3 linked regions of the Arabidopsis thaliana genome follow. The protein of the gene in region 3 binds, or shares a complex with, the protein of the main gene of each other region. Each region holds a gene or a part of one and is shown on either strand. Other genes may lie near its edges.

Region 1 (5,110 bases), on a different chromosome or scaffold from region 3:
ACTTACCATTTTTTCCGCAATCAAGTACTATACATCAACAGAAAAAAAAACTAATAAAATAAAAGTGGGTGCTTGACAGCTTCTTTTGGATTCACAAGGATATGTATATCATAAGTTGATGAGTAATCGTTATAATTAGGGTTGGCACTGATATTTTGCTGGTCTCAACCAAATTGATAAACATACTATGTTTAGGCATACCAAATTTTCCTCAACGAGAACAAGTTCAAAAAAGACATATGGCAGCCACAAGATAATAATTAGACACTAATTAACTCAATTCATATCTGATATGTATATAAATAATTTTGATGCTATTTCGTCCGCACTGTGTTACACATTTTTATTTAAATATGTAACGTTTTTTTGGTTACCTAAAGCAAAGCAATAGCCAATAGTGGTCATTTGATAATAACTAAACCCTAAAACAACAAACATGCCCAAATCAGAATCCCAATTCAACCTTGGTAAAAACGTTCTCCCACCTCTGATCAAAGCCCACACAACAAAGGCCCAAATCAGAATCCCAATTCCCAACACACAAACACACGTGAAGAGACTCAGAGAAGCCGTTAAAGACAGGACTAGCAAGTACACTGTTTCTTCTGTAATAAGAAGTAGATTTGATTCTCTGCCACACCTACATAATAGTGACTCGGACTTTTGCCGTATTGCTGTTGTTTTCTTCTTTTTACTTTATTTCTCGTGTCGTGTTGCTATTGGATCATATGTTTTCGATCATCAAACAAGTTCGTGTAATGAAATATTTAAGGTTTTGAGAAACTTAGATTTAATTATCTTGATGGAAACTGAGTTCATACACAAATCCACATTTTGACATAATACTTCCAACAGGCTGATACTTTTTTTTTTTTCTTCGGCAATTGAATGAGCTACGACGTCTCAATCAGTCAAATCTCGTAATCTTCTGTACCACTTGCGACTCAGATGACGTCTGAATACTTGCCCAACAAAACATTGATTGCATTAGAATGCTACTCATTGACAATATGATAATAAATTGGCTATTGAGGTGATTGGCGAATGCAACAGCATACATATGTGATTCTCCTCCACATTAACCATGACATGATACCACTTACATCATAAACACCTAAATAACAAATCTATACATCAATCGATTACCATAGCTCTGTTTTTTAAACAATGTAACACATATAACCTCTAGCATAAGCAGTTCATTGTTCTCCTTATCAACTTGTATCAACGAAGAGGGAAAGAAGAACACAGGAAGATTCAACATTCTCTTAAGCATAAAACTTACCAGTTTGCATCTTCAAACTGGTATGGTTACAAAGAATTACACAGTAACTGCAAGCTGAGACATGCAAACGCTACTACAAGAAGCCACTGTCAAGTTACATTGGTCACTAGTAAGAAGAAAACACACACAAAAAGAAAAGAGAAGAAAAATTAAAATTGGAGATTATTTATTAAATAAACGGGTAGCTGAATTGATATACATTCAGAAACTCAAGCTAAAACAAAAACCCCTCAAATTTTGATCACAAGGGGTTTTCCTGAAAACAAAGCAACAAAGACACAACAAGTCACTTACTAACACCAATTTGCCAATTTACACAACGACGATTCTATTTTGGTCTTCTCACACTCACAAAGACTAAAGAAATATATCTAATCGCACTTCCCTGGAATTTTCAAAGTATCTTTCATTCCTTTCTTCTTAATTAGCAACAGTAGTAGTAGTACCATCTTCCACACCTAGACCATACAAGACTCCAGTGTATTTCTCAGTTGATCCCGGGAAATAACGTTCCTTGAGCTTCCTAAACGACCCTAAGGTGAGCAAGCTATCCGACCCAGCTTGATGACAAATCCCAACTCTCTCCACTCCCATAAGCTCCGCAAGTCTGTTCAATCCACCAAACAGTCCGTTGCAGAACGTCATCAAGTGCTTGATATCGTAAACCGTAGGGAAATACACATACAGAAGCTTGAAGAAATCAGCTTGCTTGAGAGGCAATTCCTTACAAGTCAACAACTTAACCAAATACCCGAAATCATATCCACCATGGAACGTAACCCACGAGATAGCATCGTTCAAAACAATCCCAGACGACATCATAAGCTCACCAAACCTAACCACATCAATACCTTTCTCAATGTTCTTCTTGAAATCAATCCCACACTGACGCAACAGCTCAATAGACTCACTCGCGTAGATATCCTCACCGATGTTGAACTCACGGAAATTGAATTGCCAGATGCAGAACTTATCCGTCCCACAAGTCGGAAGATTCCCATTCTCATCAGAAAAAGTTAACCCAACTTGAATCAATTTCAACAAATCGACATTTTCCTTGAGAGTCCTGTAGTTAAGATCGTTATTGTACTTGAAAGTAGCAACAGGCTTCAAAACCACACCTGGAAACTCAGTATCCATAGCGATATAGCTGAATTTGTCAACAATCTCACGGATCAACGCGAATTCTTCAACCAAATTGTAATCCCAAACCTCTCGAATCATAATCGAATCTTCTTTCAAAGTCTCCGCCATTTCTAGATATACAACAAACCCAGATCTGAAAACAAAGCATACGTCGGAACTCGGAAATACTGCGAAACTCGTATCGGTAGATCTGTAAACGAAACCTTCCGATCTGAGGAAGAGGCAACAACACCAGGAAAATCAGAAATCGATGTAACAAAAAGCAAACCCTAGCTGTGAAACGAAAATCGAAATGAAACGGAGAGACATGAAAGTATGAAATTACCAGAGGTTTCGCAATACAGATGTAAGAAAAGGAACAGATCTAGCAGATTCGAAGAGAGATCTGTGCGTCTGCGAGAGAGAAATTATCGGGTCAACCAGAGAGAGAGGTTTCAAGTGGTATGGCTTTGGAGAAGATGAAGTGATAAATAAAGACAAGTGTGAGCCTTGAAACGAAGCCGTTTTGTTTGACGATGAAAAGCTTATACGACGACGTTTTGCCGTGCGTCTTCTTACATCAATCATTACGTTTTGGCCAGTTACCAATTATTTTATCCGTATTGTCCGTTTTCTAATTATTTTAATGATGCGAATTGTGTGATATGATGACCAATTTTTATTTATGTGTATCACGGAAATTCCGTTCGTTTGTAACTTCCATGATCTTTTTTTTTTCTTTTGCTTTGTAGACCTACCTCCATTATTCTTAAATTTTATGTATTTTATAGCATTTGGTACTAGAGTTAAATTGTTATACCTTATTATGACGATCGAACTTTATAGTTATAGGAAAAGTTGTATAAACTAAACTGCATTTTGATTTTTGTACAAGTCTAAATTTATATGGTTAAGAAACAGATTGTGCTAATAAACAATCAAAATTATTTATTTTTGCTATGGAGCTAGTCAGCTAGATGATTTGAAGAACCTTAAAACTTCTTTTTCTTACAATTTTAACTCAGTTTTATATCATTTGGTAATAATATTCCTACGGATTGTCTCGCAATTTTATATCACATTTTAATAATTTCTGTACTGATTATCTCACAAAATTGAAAGAATATCAATTTTTTTTTTTGTCGAAAATTTGAAAGAACATAATATTTGATTATTTTCCAGGTAAACTCTTTTATTTCTGTTTTTTTTTCTTCTATGTAAACTCTTCAATTTCGGATTTGTTTCCTATGTAGTTCTGCCAATTAATTGAAAATATGGTATCTTGTTTTTTTTCAACTCAAAAAAAGGATTTTAGATTTATGTTATCTTGTTATTAAGAAGGATTTGTTAGCATAATTGTTAAACAAAACAAAGTAATTTTAATTATAATAGAATTGACTTTGGGATTTCTACCTTACAAGTTACAAGTGGCCAATATTAATGCAATCATACAACGAATGGGAAGACGTTTGATAGAGATACATGCATCACTTGTTACAATCATCTTCGTTCATGAATAGAATCATTTTAGATTTATTTATTTTAGAAAAAAACTTTCAAGTTTCACCAGCGTAATCAGTTTTTCTTCTTAAAATTATTACATGAAAAGATTCTCCAACTCAAACGAGGACCAAAGTTCTTTTTTTTTTTACAAAAAAAGACAACTATTAGGAAGAAAGGGGATAAAGGAATTTTAATTCTAATTATTATTACGGAGTCAAGGCATCATCGTGCTTCCCACTTACCCTCAAGCATAATCCATTGTTTTGTAATAATTAATTCGTTTTTATATAAACTAATGTATTAGCTTGTTTTATATCAAATAATTGTGTACCTTTTTCTATAAATTAAAAAAAATAAACAAGTAATGTCAAGTCACGAAATATTAGATGGTGGTTTCATCATCCGACCATTTTTAGGAAATTTCTTCTGGAATCCAACACATACCAAACATGAAAGTTTCTGCATAATTGTTCTTATATATATAACAAAATTTACTTAATTGTTACCCTCCAAAAATATGTCTCACCGTGTAATTGCTTGCTCATCTAAAATCTAAATAGAATTCTATATTTAAAATCAAAATCGAAAAAAACGAAAATAGAAACTAAAATTGAAATTTTTGTTACTTAAATTAGAAAGAATTATTTAAACAGTTGCATGTATTTAACGTAGATAAATTCTTTAATATCACGTGCACATATAATTTAGATTAGGTAAATCATCTAGTACCAAATATTTGTTTAATTTTATGGGTTTTGGATTGTTTAGAGATGTTTAGATCGTTCCTACAAATGTTCGAACAGCTTGATAAAACAAATGTCATATTCTACATGAACTCTAGGTAACATTTCGATATGATCTATTATAAGATACACTTAAAGATAAGAAGGCTCATAGCTGTTAAGTTACTAAACGTTAAGTTCACTCGTAAAAACGAGTATTTAGTTCTTGATCACGTTTCAGAGAAAATAATCTTATTAGAAAACCATTAAAAACCAAGACCGTAAATCTGAAGATATATCGTTCATAATAATATGACCATATTTTCTATCATTTTATTTTGGACCAACTCCGGTGATCTAATATTAATTTGAGGATCATCATCTAGTCATCGTAAAGCACTATACTAGGATAAATATCTTTTCCTCTAACTTGATAACACTGGATATTGAAGGTCCAATTACTGGCAGAAAACAT
Region 2 (6,862 bases), about 17 Mb from region 3:
TGTAAAGAGAGGAGATCTGATCAAAACGGTATTTTGGACAATTCGGGATCTTGGGAAAGTGGAGGATCTCGTTATCGTCATCTTCGTTGATCTTGGTGGGCATTTCGATCCAGAGAGTATTGAGTATGCAGCAAGTGATAGCAGCGGAGGGAGAGAAATCGAAACGAGGGATTCCGAGGTTTTTGGTCCAACCAAGGAAGAAATCAGATACGATGGCTACTGGAGGAGAAGGGTGAGAAGTAATCCAAGAGATAAGCGGCGCGTGGAGATTACCAAGCGCGTGGATCATTAAAGGGAAGCCTGAAGGAGGTAAGTCTTGGACGTTTTCGACGCCGGAGGGGATTGAAGGGTGGGAGGGAAAAGGGAGGATAAGTGGTTCGATGTTAACTACGGCGGAGAGAAGCGGAGAGAGAAAAGGAAGGTTTTTTGGAGTGACTAGGACGGTTATTTTTAAGGCGGCGCCGCCGCGGAGAGCAAGGCGGTGGGTGAAGTCGAGGAGGGGAATCATGTGACCTTGCGCCGGAAATGGGAAGATTAAGACATGGGTCTTTGTCGGCTTGTTGTTTTCCTCGTTCACTTTCATAATGAGCTTTTCTAGTGGGACTTTTTTTTGTTTATGCCGGAATGTTTTGGTGGAGCAAAGAGAAAAGAGTGATTTAAATAGATGTGTGTTAACTGTAAATGGCCGATTTGTGTACCCAATGTATTCCCAACACTTGGAAAGAATGCTTACGACACTTTTGATAATACCGTGTGGTATTTTGATTAATGCAGCGTCAGATGACACTTGAGAAGAGCTTATTTTGGAGTGAACAGATTGAGATACTTTTTACGCAACGTCTCTTACATTGTTTTGCTTCTAGTAGCAAAATGGGTCTTCGCTCCTCATAGGTACACGTCCAGTAACATGCTATTTTGGTATTAACTTTTTAAAAGCAGAAAGAGTAGGTGCAAGTCTTGGGTAGGTAAGGTAAAAAAAAATGTTTCAAGTAAGCAAATCTATGTATGGGAATGAGCCCAAAACTTGTTTATGTTTTACAATTTACTGAATCTGTTTCCGAACTCCAATTCAGAAGCCTCGATGAGCATTCAAAAACCTCAAGGGATGGCCAAGTCAGGTGGCTCGGTTTAGTGGTTGGTGCTAACATTTTGGCTCATTGCCAGTCATTGACAAAGCCGAGTTCACATGCGATAGCGAGATGGTCGCTTCCCCAATTCTGCAAATTTTCATTGGTCAGAGACTTGTATGCAACTCTTCCAATAATCCCAGTTTTTACATTCTTGAAAAAATGAATAGAGTAACTCGAGAAAGTAAAGGGTTGCCCCAGAAAAAAAGTTTAGCCTAGAAAAAAAAACTTACCTCACTAGGTAGTCCACCTGTTCTTCTCAATACATCTGCTGGCAAGGTCTCAAGAACCCTCACAGGAACGAGTTCCTTGGTATGCCTGGGTTCAAAACCTCAGATTAATTATTGAGATTTCAAAATTACATGTGCATATATCACAACATTGATAGCCATATATAATTGAAAGCTCTGATTAATGATTCGGATTTCATAAGCACAACAGACTTACCATATATAATCAACAGTTCCAAGGAACCTGGAATGATACGTTGTTGCCAATGGTTCACCGCGTTGATCTCTAGTTCTATATGTACCCTGCAAGATCTCAGGTCTTAGCATACTAGAAGGATATATAACATCATACAACATGCTACTTTCCCTAAACGTTTTTCAGTATCTAGTATAAAAGAAAGCCACAGTTCCTAAGAACTTAGTTTTCCTGTAAGGCAGATTTCAACTCTTTTCGATGCGTCCACCAGTCGAGAACAAGAAACAAAAACACTTACAGGAACTCCACTATATGCGCTGTTAAGCTTCAGTTGATGTTGGACATGAGTGGTTTCTTGACCACCAGTTGCAAGCTGTAATTCTTCCTGGCTCCACTCATTGAGTAGTGATCCGGAGATGGATGCTGAAGCACTGACGAAAGAGGGAGTTGTTTAGTTAGACTAAATTGAGATAGAAACTTCATCTGAGGATTACGTAGTTGATTAAGCGCAGGCCAAAGAAAAATATAAGTAATCTATCACTCTATCAGTTCATCAGGTAAACAGAAGAGATATAAGCAATCTATCCGTTCATCAGGTAGGCAGAAAAGGAATATGGATACATTATTTAGAGAAACCAAAGACCCCGGTGAATTACAAGCTACCTAAATGCATAATGGTTTCTGAATGACCTCTCCTTTGGTTCCACTTCAGTCTGGCCAGAAATTTGCCTGCGATCGTGAAGTTGTGTATCCAACTGTCCAAAATTAAAAAAGGAATATAAAGAGTTCATTCTAACTTTCCCAGTAAAGAAAGGAAAAAAATTATGACCAGGCGAAATGTAAAAGAAAGAGTCCAGAACCCTCAATGGAACTCACATCAGCTGAAGCTATGAAATCATAGATTGCACTCTGTACAGCAAATCCAGAGTAAGTTTTAGAATTCAGCTAAAAAATAAGTATTAGAACAAAAAAAACAAAAGTTGGTAGAGATCACCTGTGGAGTGCTATTCAGATCACCTGCAATCGCCACAGGAATATTTCCCCATTCCTGTGATAGCTTGTAAGCCTTCTCCAGAAAGAGTCTTACCTATAAGTTATGACATATCAAATATCAAGAAATGAGCGAGCTACTTAGAATTTCAATGAAGTTTCAATACTGACAGGCATTGATGTACTGATGAATACCATAAAATAGTACTAGCTAAAAAATTGACATTTCTAAACTCAGGATGTGTAGTGACAGAAATGCTCTACCGATTTTATGGATAAGCCAGTTTTTATCAGAATTTTGTAAGGATCTAGCAAGACATACCTGGCCAAGCTTGATATCCCCACGCTTAGGATTGAATAGGACATGTATATTCCCAACCACTAGCCTTCGAGGACTAGTAGAAGTTTGCATAAATCAACCAAACATGGAAGTGCGCATAAAATTTAGTAAGGATCTTAAAAGTAAGTTCAATATTCACTCCAGTAAAGGAATCAGAACAGAACTCAGACATACTCTGATGATCGCACCCGTAATTTAGACTTTGGGTCCTCCTCACAGTTCATCTGTTCCGTAATAGACAATCAAGTAAATTAATTAATTGCAAGGGCTGAAACTAAGAAAATTAAGCAATTAGCCTGCAAAGCTGAAAACACAACAGGAGGGAAAAATATATAAAATAATGCCCACAATTAAGCTTGTCATATCTCTGTGCTTCTAGAATCAAGAAAAGACAGAGGAGAAAAGAGGGGGAAGACGACAATACAGAAATAACTTAAAACGGTGCATACCTCTAAAACACAAAGTTGAGCAACATTGTTTCGCATACCAAATTTATCAAACTCTATATGTTGATGGTCTAGAAGTTCAAATCTGCATTCACAGCAGAAATATAACATAAATGATGAAACTAGTAGAGTAAGAGTCTAATACAAAATAAATAACATCGAGAACAATAGAAAGCAAAGCTTTCAGCCTTGAACAATATATTGTGAAGCCAAGGTCAAAGCTGATAACATAACACAACGTGAACCTACCATTAACAATTTCGAAACATTCAAAACAGATAACTAGAAGATCTAATTTATCTCGTTCCAAAAGAGAGATATTCCCTGTAGACAATTCAAATGGCTAGATTCCTGATCCTGACTCCAGCATATAGAGACTTCCCACCACATTAAAAATGATCCTAAATAGAAAAAAACTGAACTTACAGATTCTCTTTCCAAAATATAGCACAACCATCACTCGCTTCTCCAGTCCGACTCTAAAAAATACTAAATGTATGAAAAAGGCACCATTGCATACAAGGTAATAAAGCTTTTGACTCGTATATATACCTTGTGAACACCTCGAAATCCTCTATTTTTAAGAAGAACATCTAAATCATCAAAGCGGTCAACCTCCTGCAATAAATTTGGACATGAGAATGCAATGAAACTTAAATAGTGTAGATCTAGGCAATCCCCTGGAACTTGCCTGAAGACATAAGATGCTTGCATTGTAACGACTAATCTCCTTGCATATGAGATGTTTCCGTCTACTCCACTCTAAGTGCTTCCGCGGAACATTGTAATACAAGTCCATGTGGTTCGACGCATTGTCAACACCAAGTAGATTGTACGAAACTAATACTAATTTATCTGAAGAATTGAAAAGGAGATATCAAGTTTTTCATACACATAAGATAAAAATGTGTTCAAAGTACGGAATGTGATACTTCGTGAAGCTAATAAAAGCATATAAGTGCATTATTCAGTGTGATTGCAATGCACACAGACCTGCTAGATTTTCAAAATTGTTTGCGGAAAACACCCATTCGCGCTCAACGGAACTCGAGATCTTCTCCTTAGTTCTCCGTCGCCGGCGGAGAGAAGACTTACTATGTCTGACAGGTTTACAATCACGCTGGCTGAATCCCGGCGTAAAAGAACGGTGAGGTTTTAAGGTTATTGACTCCTTCCTATTCGATTTCTCGTATACGTTCTCCGATTGTTCCGAAATCGAGTTACGCTTCCGCTTGGTGATGGTGATTGAGTTCGCCGTCGTGTTCTTACGCTCGTATCCGCTCATGTCAATCGTAGCAAGTCGGCGGCGCGTGAGCTATGCGTCAACCTTGTGAAGTTAACCAAATTCAGTCGGTTGAAATTCACGATTTTTACTGGTTAACGATTAAAATACGTACTTGATAACCCAAACCGGTTGGCTTAAGTAGTTGCCTAGTTGGGCTCTTTATGTTGGTTTTTTTAATTGTGTGATGGGCTATTCAGCCATAACTAGGCCTTAATGGCTTTTATTTCTTGCTTCATTTGTAAATTGTTGGAAATGGCATGTTCTAATTTGAACTTGTTTCTTGTTTTTTTTTTGTTTTTTTTAATTACACTTGTTTTCTTTGTAACATGTCTTCGCTACGAATTTTTTAGTGTTCGTTATTATCACACATTATGGCTTTTTTCTCCAATTCATTTGATAAACAAAGAGTTTTCATTTGATATATACAATAAATTACTCAATCAATCAATCTATAAAATCATAGTTGCCGGCTACAAGTCTACACAACCATCGGCCCCAAGAGTTTCAGTTCATTATTCAGTACATTACGACAATTACTTCAAAGGTCTTAATTACAAGATCTTTAAAGTGTTGATTAAAGTAAATCAAATCACGTCAAAAGTGACGTCCTCTTCACGAAACGACCTTTGATTCGAGGTCTCTGCTCAGCGTTAAGTTTCCGAACCTCATATCTTATTTTCTTTGAGAACAACCTCGTCCTCCGCTTCTCCTTGTACCTCAAAACCCTCGCCTCTCTCTCCCCGTCCGATCCTCCTCCGTCTCTCCCTTGCTGACGTGTCACCGATCCGTCGCTCGACATCAATTTCTCGTACCCACCCACAACATGAGGCAGACACGTGTTCCCTCCCAACTGGATCAGTGAACTTTATAACGTTATTTCGTCTTTTATAATCAATATATATCAGCTCAAAGTCAACGGAACTCGACACTACTAAAGACTAACATAGAGATGAGAGATATAGCTAGAGACACCAACTTACCATGCACTCCGGTTTGATTCCGGTTTTCCACGGCGAACCGTGATTATCCCAAGCACTAATCACAGCTCCATAATCTAATCTCAGAAACAAACTTGTCTTTCTATCTTTATCATTTGATGCTTCTCTATCACTATCCTTTGATCCTCCATTTTCACACTTGGCTTCTTCTTCTTCTTCATCTTCATCTTTCACCCTCTTCAAATCCTTACAATTAATCTCAAACCCTACTTTATTCTCTTCTTTGATGACTCCAACATCGTTTGGTTCCTTGAATCCCAAGCAAAGTTGTTCTTCCTCAAGTAAACTCTCCACGTCCATAGTGAGATCCTCAAGATCCATATCCAATGGCACGAACCCCATAAAACCTTCATCGTCCATGATTGCCTTCTCGACTTCTCCTAATTCTCCATTAGTAGTAGTGTTATTGACTTCATCAGGAACTAAGCAAAAGCCGTTTATATCATCAATCAGCATGTCTGAGAAAGGATCGAAAACAGGCACGCAACAATTCAGACTCTCCTCGGTTTCTTCTACGGAGGAGAACGAGAAAAAGCCATCATCTTCGTCTCCACCAAGCTCCGGAACAAGAGGATCGTTTGACTCGATTTGCAACAACTTCTCAAACGCACAACTCTTGCTCCTAGGCGTTCTCGCCTTTCTCCTGAATCCTTCGTACCATACCGACGTCGTTTTGTCTGCCGTCTCCGTCGGCGAAGATGATTGTAACCGGACACGTTCGTGCCGTTTCGCTAAATGGTTAGCCGAGTGGATCGAGGCGTCGCAGCTTTGGCATAGGAAAGCGTCATCGGCTGGACAGTACCAACTAGCACGTGATCTCTTCATGCACGCATCACAGCCACGCGCCGCCATCTTCTCTCCTGTCACGCTCGCGGTTCGGCTCTCTACATCGACCACCATTGTGTGTGTATATTACACAGTGAGAGAGTTGCTGAGATGGAGAGAGAGGCCTTGAGAAGAACAAAATACTGTAATATATATGGTTTTGCAACGAATTCACTAGTGTGTGTGGCGTCTCGATTTCCCGGCAGTATTTTTCATTTTTTTCAGAATTATTATTTTTTCATTACCTTGTGTGGTCTAAATTATTTGGAGTGGAGATAGAAATATAAATAAAAACTCATAATTCTATTCATAGTTTATTATGTACGTGTACATGGTATTTTAGAATGAGGACTTTTCACGAGTTTTTTACTTCAAATTTACAATTTTTGTTTTCATTATATTACGTACTTTCAAATAAATGTTTA
Region 3 (5,966 bases):
AGGTTCTCAAGGGAAGCTTATGCTAAATGATATTTATTTATAAGAACATATAATAAGCATAGAAAATATAATATTTTTGTTCGGTTGTTTGTGATTATATATTCAAAGGAATGATCACTATCCGTTTTGAAAAAATCTTATGTTTTTGGAACATAACATTACATCACTGTCATTTTGGATAAAAGTTTGAAGAGTACGACTTTATTCAATAACAATGGTTCAAATTATCGGTGAAAGGTGAGACTGTAAAAGAATATTCGTTCGTACTCAAAATTATGATTTATTATTATAAGTTGGTGCGATAGTACAAACTTTAGTGGTTGATAGATAAAACAGATCAATGCTTGACCTAATTTTGTTGCAACTTTATTCAACAAATTGAAACGAGATCATCATATGATATTAACATGTCATTTCACTAAATCTTCTATTGTTTTTGTCTAGTTGACTACAGAATAATAGAACCAATTCTTATGTTATTTTATGAGTGCAATAAACAAGACACATTAAACAATTTCTTCTCAAGAAAATTCAAATATTCTCAGTAATTCAATGCACACAACGAAAATTTCGAGTTTATTGAGACAAAAATGATCCAAGTCCTTTAATACTTTGTGTTGTGTGTGTATGATTCACTGCTTCATGATTTCTACAAGAACCATATTCAAATGCTGAAACAATGGAGTTATGCGACAAAACTTTCTAAAGAACGAAACTTCCTATTCCCGACGAATCTCAAACTCAGCTCCTATAGGTAAATGATCACTCGGGTGATGATGATTCGGTAAGAAACCGACAACATCTGGAGAATCCGGCTCAGGTAGTTGAAGGATACTCACAGGTTTAATGAAGTCTGAAGGAGAGATGAAGATGTAGTCAAGTGTGTTTGTGAAGCCAGGAGTGCAATTTGTGAACTTAGGCTCTCCTCTTGTGACTTCATAGACACTAGACAGAGGAACTGGAGCTTCTTCTTCTTCTATGGTCTCTGTGGGTTTAGCATTACCCGATACTAGGTAACTATAAACCTGGAAAACGACGACAAGTATCAGGATTTTACCACCGTAAACCCAATCTTTTGATTTTGCAAATAGATTGAACAATTAGGGAAACTCAATGTAAGAAACTGAATCAAACCATATCCCCAGGAATTGAATTGAAGTCGCCAGCTAGTAGCAATGAAGGTGTGCACTCAAATTCATCTGATATTAGTGTTTTGAACTGAGCTAGTCGTGACAGTAGATACTTGGCTTGAGCAAGCTTGACATCAGCCAATTCAGGGTCCCTAGAGATAAGTAAACATGAGATGAAAGTTTAAAGGGTGGTAAAAGATAATCTTCAATCGGTGACAAGTATTTTTACCAGTAAAGATGTGTGTTTGCCACGATAACGATATGCTGAAACGGCTTGTTGATCCTAAAAGCAGCCATTATTCCAACGCAATCACGTTTTAGTCTCACTAGTGGATCATTAAGGTCACGACTGTCTTTTCGAGAATCTTTTGTTTGGGGCAGATTTGTGGAAACATGTGAAGAGAACATAGATAAAAGTTAGTAATGATGTTGAGATATAAAGAAACAGCACAAAGTATTTGCTTTCTTTTCCTCCAAAAGGACAAATTTATCTTTCGCTTTCTCATCACCTTTTCCTTCGTTGGATGTCTCAATCTTCTGTTCGCTGCAGGAAACACTATCTGCTTTTATTGAGTCCACAAGATCATTATATTCGATCCGTTCCTTTGTGACTAACTCTGCACTAAATCAAAAGAAGAGTGTTGTTTCAATCAGATTGATGTTTTTGCATTAAGTTAACGTCTTGTCAGGCTTAATGTTTTTATCATACCAGCTTGGCTTGTAGAAGATTGCACAACCATCACGCTTCCTCTGGCCGGTTCTCTGAATATAAATCCCAGAATATCCCAGAGAGTCCATGTTATTTCTGTAAAAGCTATCGTACTCATCTACTTCCTGCGAGCATTGCAACTATATAACTAACAAGTGGAGACACCCTTTTGTTAAACACAATTCAAAGGCCCTATGAACAAACAACACTAACATTTTTACAGGCCTGAGCTTGTCTAATGGATTGAACAAAAGAGAAGAATGAATTTTGTGTTTCATACGAAAAGGGTATCTCAATACTACCTAAACACAAAAGAAGAAGTTTTCACAAGAATAAAGTACCTGCAGACAAAAGAAATCAGCCTGGAGATTTTTGAGAACGCTGAGAATTGCATGTGAACGAGCTTTCCATCTGCAACACAAGAAAAGGAAGACCAAGTCACATTTACTACAAAACCATAACCCTTTAAGAAGCACCATTCCCTAATATTTTAACAAAGTTAATATATCGCTAAATCCAAAGTACATATTGGGTAATGGATAATTAACGTGGGTAAGACCAAACACAATATTGCCTGCTTATAGCTAAGTTCCTAAACATTCATAGAATCCATTGTTGTTTTCTGAAGCAAATCTTGACTATACTCCAGGCCATTGATTACACAACTCACAGAAAGAACTCTTGACTAGTATAAGTAAATTTGATCTCGAAACTGAGAAATGTAGAGAAAAATAATTACTTGAGACAGGCAGGTGGAGAGTGTGGGAGAAGTGCACTCTTCACATAAACCTACAAGAAATATAAAGCTCAAATAGATAAGAAACTCAACAAAGGAAAGAGCTAAAAGAACTGTCTGTATCTATAAATCAAGCTCAGAAATTCGTAAGATCGTTTAAAACTACAAAATTCGTCCAAATATTAAGCTACAAAATATCACAAAGCATATGAGAGATTAAAAAGCTTGATTATTTCTTACCTGAGCTAATATGTTATATGAAACAAGACGGAATCTGATACCTGAAAACACAAAATTCTCATTACTAGTACCAATTCTACTTAAACTTATACAGTTATATAAAGCCACAAGCTTTGATAAGTAAAGAGGAATAGCAAAAAAACCATCGGATTTATTTCTTGAACCAATATCAACTCCTTCAACAGATTCAAATTTGCGAACTTTTGGTTCAATTGCAGGATTCGTACTCATTCTTCTCGAAATAACTTTCCTGCAGACACGAGAGCTGTTGAATCAAAGGGTCAGGAAAAAAAACAATCCTTGAACATCAATATTTAGGTCAAAATTAAGAAGCTGATTTAATTCCCCATAAAATTTCAATTACAGCCCAGATAAATTCGAGATTCTAGAGGATTGGTTCCAATATAAAGATGAGAAATTTCTAAACAAATTGTATTCCTCAACGAAATTGCCCAATGACAATGAACAGAGACGATCAATTTAGTTGCATTACTAAATACGAAACTTGAGATTACAGAAAATGAAACTGTATATTGATTGATACAGAAACGAAGAAACCCACCTGGGAAGAAGAAGATTCGGACGAGGAAGATGATGCAGAGTTGTAGAACTAAACATCTATAGTGACAACAATTGACTTAACCCAATTTGGCTTTAGATTGAAGAAACTCTTGTGGGTTTTCAAATAAAATAGTGAAGAATTCGATAATTATCATTTGCTCCCTGTCTTTATATTAAAGTAGTTAGTGAGCCTTCATTTTATTTATTGGAACTTTAGAACCAAAAATAGGTCATTAGTAGGTTCATTTACTTTCCAACAAATAAAAATCCAATCGAAATCAACGTCAAAATCCAAAACCCAAAATTTTCAAAAATTCCCAAAGCACCTATATATATAACTATATAAGTTAGTATGAGTTTCTAAATCATTTACTGTCAGATATTTAGTCTATAAATGGTTGTGTACCAGACTAAAATCTAATTAATCGATATTTAACTAATTCACCATTACGGACCAATATACACTATTGCGAATTAAAAATTTCCATACTAACACTCACTTGAGCATAAAACTTTATAAGATGAGAAATTATAGATATATTTCCCAAAAAGCTTCACACCAATATTAATATAACAAGGGGATTGACGTAAATGACACTAAAAAACTTTATTATTCCAAAAAATGACACCTTTTTTTTGAAATTTCCAAAATAGCATATAAAATTTTTAATCCTCTATAAATTAATTAAATAATAAAGTTTTTTTTATTACTATTTGTATCAATCCCCCAAATAAAAATGAGAGCAAACATTAATCTAATATTAAATTGAATCAAAAAAGTTTTTAATAATAAAAATATATACCCTAAATTGAAAATAACAAACCCAAATATAATACTACAAACTAATTTGGTAAAGGACATACTACAAACTAATTTGGTAGAGGACATGCAAGCAATGGAAAACACTAATCACAGAACCGATATTCGTCAACAAGCACATGTCTCACATGCATGGTCTTGAACCGATATTCACAGTCTTCAATTACGTTCCGGCCACAGTTTCTCCATTGTGCTCAACAATTTCTTGTATCGGTATGGATTTCAACAACAAACCTAGTTTAAATTTTCAGGTTTTTAAACCGCTTTCATCTTCGGATTTATTGGAGCACAACATGTTTCATTGTGATGGTCTATTGCTAATGGTCATGGGAACCAAAATTTTAGTTTCCAATCCGTTGTTGAAAGAAGCAAGATGGATCAAATGTGGCTATAGCTTTGAGTTTGACCATTCCATCGATGCATATGGTCTTGGATACATTAGTAACGAGTCACCAAGTGGTTGTAATGATTACAAAATGGTTAGGTTTCGGTGTCCTAATAATTTAAGTGTTGAAATCTACGATTTCAAATCTGATTGTTGGAAGGTTGTTGTTGTTGATAAAACCTTCCATGGGTTCTTTCGACTACCATTGTCAAGTGTGTGTATAGGAGGAACTCCTTATTGGATAGGTTATAATATCTACGGTACCGTTTCGATACAAAGTTTCGATTTCTCAAAAGAGAGATTTGAGACCTTGTTCGAGTCTCTTCATCACTCATCCATCGGGATCCAGTGGAAAGATTCTCTTTCTTTAGGGATTTTCCGTGGAGATCATCTTTCTTTGTTACGTGAACCGCACTTAGCAGGTAAGATATACTGATGAAGAAGCATTGGAGTAGGTTAATGACAGTTTCTATAGCTCAACTTCCCAAGTTTCCAATATATCCAAGTCACTTCATTGAGAACAATGGTAAGATTCTGCTATATATTCGTCACTTTGTAACTAGGTCAATTAGCATCTACGTTGTGGGAGAGACATAAGAATGCCCGAAAGTTGAATGTTACTCTTCTATGGAGTCTTCAATTGGTGGTCCTGGTTGCTACTATATATGTCCCAAGCTTACTTCCGGTTCCAGGCTTTTCGAGGTAATTAAGAGGAAGAAGAATAAGCGTGCTCCGATCCATTGCTACGAGTTAAATGGTTATCTTCTTTCATGTTTATAATGGTCTTTACTTTCGAACTCTATAAACATAGTGGGATAACTTCATAAGAGTTTGAATCTGGTTCGAAAAAAGTGGGAAACAATATTTATGCATACAAATATGGTTTTTTATTTTGATTATTTCTATGTTCATATTATTGCTTCGGCGGATCTGAACTCAATGCCAATGAGCAAATGATCACTCGCTTTCGGTGTCTCGTAATATAAGATCATGATTTGATATTCGAGGTCTTTATGCATCCGTGGTTCCTTATTCCCCAAGCTTAATCTCTTTATTGCATAAATTGTATACGTTCTCGTCATATATTCTACTTATTTACTTGGTATAGTTATTTCTGGATATGACAAAAAGTAAACTCTACATTAATATTTTGGAGAGATTTTGAATAAGTATGGGAAAATACAAGAGAAGAATCTTTAACAAAAAAAAATACAAGGGAAGGAATGTTGTTTAAAAAGAGTTGTTTCATAGATGAAAAGTGCTTTTCTCTTATCTTAAGAAACCATCTGAATTATAACTTCTACATATATAAACGCCATGTATCACTGCTAGTGAGGTCTCCGGCGTTTACTCGGAGAATGGCGAGGTGAGCGTAAACAATGGGA

What was found. The genes of interacting proteins can lie anywhere in the genome.
Region 1: AT1G31500 (region 3) and AT5G10960 share a complex: the UniProt entries of both Arabidopsis thaliana proteins name them as parts of the CCR4-NOT complex.
Region 2: AT1G31500 (region 3) and AT1G73875 share a complex: the UniProt entries of both Arabidopsis thaliana proteins name them as parts of the CCR4-NOT complex.

Annotation. Positions count from the first base shown.
Region 1 is NC_003076.8:3,462,010-3,467,119, reverse strand, and holds AT5G10960 (Polynucleotidyl transferase, ribonuclease H-like superfamily protein), read right to left. Parts: upstream 3,023-5,110; 5' UTR 2,757-3,022; intron 2,643-2,756; 5' UTR 2,540-2,642; coding exon 1,706-2,539; 3' UTR 806-1,705; downstream 1-805. UniProt on the Arabidopsis thaliana protein: Ubiquitous transcription factor required for a diverse set of processes. It is a component of the CCR4 complex involved in the control of gene expression.
Region 2 is NC_003070.9:27,778,864-27,785,725, reverse strand, and holds AT1G73875 (DNAse I-like superfamily protein), read right to left. Parts: upstream 4,872-6,862; 5' UTR 4,615-4,871; coding exon 4,323-4,614; intron 4,185-4,322; coding exon 4,021-4,184; intron 3,948-4,020; coding exon 3,882-3,947; intron 3,809-3,881; coding exon 3,756-3,808; intron 3,415-3,755; coding exon 3,333-3,414; intron 3,108-3,332; coding exon 3,058-3,107; intron 2,939-3,057; coding exon 2,866-2,938; intron 2,641-2,865; coding exon 2,548-2,640; intron 2,463-2,547; coding exon 2,430-2,462; intron 2,309-2,429; coding exon 2,217-2,308; intron 1,985-2,216; coding exon 1,852-1,984; coding exon of another isoform or gene 1,768-1,851; exon of another isoform or gene 1,661-1,767; coding exon 1,575-1,660; intron 1,446-1,574; coding exon 1,361-1,445; intron 1,218-1,360; coding exon 1,155-1,217; 3' UTR 806-1,154; downstream 1-805. Other genes in the region: UGT89B1 (UDP-glucosyl transferase 89B1), read right to left, coding at 1-583; BBX16 (B-box type zinc finger protein with CCT domain-containing protein), read right to left, coding at 5,204-5,464, 5,595-6,512. UniProt on the Arabidopsis thaliana protein: Acts as a catalytic component of the CCR4-NOT core complex, which in the nucleus seems to be a general transcription factor, and in the cytoplasm the major mRNA deadenylase involved in mRNA turnover.
Region 3 is NC_003070.9:11,273,102-11,279,067, forward strand, and holds AT1G31500 (DNAse I-like superfamily protein), read right to left. Parts: upstream 3,528-5,966; 5' UTR 3,434-3,527; coding exon 3,378-3,433; exon of another isoform or gene 3,374-3,377; intron 3,081-3,373; coding exon 2,816-3,080; intron 2,629-2,815; coding exon 2,579-2,628; intron 2,251-2,578; coding exon 2,181-2,250; intron 1,965-2,180; coding exon 1,840-1,964; intron 1,753-1,839; coding exon 1,640-1,752; intron 1,496-1,639; coding exon 1,360-1,495; intron 1,283-1,359; coding exon 1,135-1,282; coding exon of another isoform or gene 1,129-1,134; exon of another isoform or gene 1,026-1,128; coding exon 720-1,025; 3' UTR 501-719; downstream 1-500. Other genes in the region: AT1G31510 (F-box associated ubiquitination effector family protein), read left to right, coding at 4,316-5,003, 5,048-5,107, 5,180-5,361; AT1G31520 (uncharacterized protein), read right to left, coding at 5,882-5,966. UniProt on the Arabidopsis thaliana protein: Acts as a catalytic component of the CCR4-NOT core complex, which in the nucleus seems to be a general transcription factor, and in the cytoplasm the major mRNA deadenylase involved in mRNA turnover.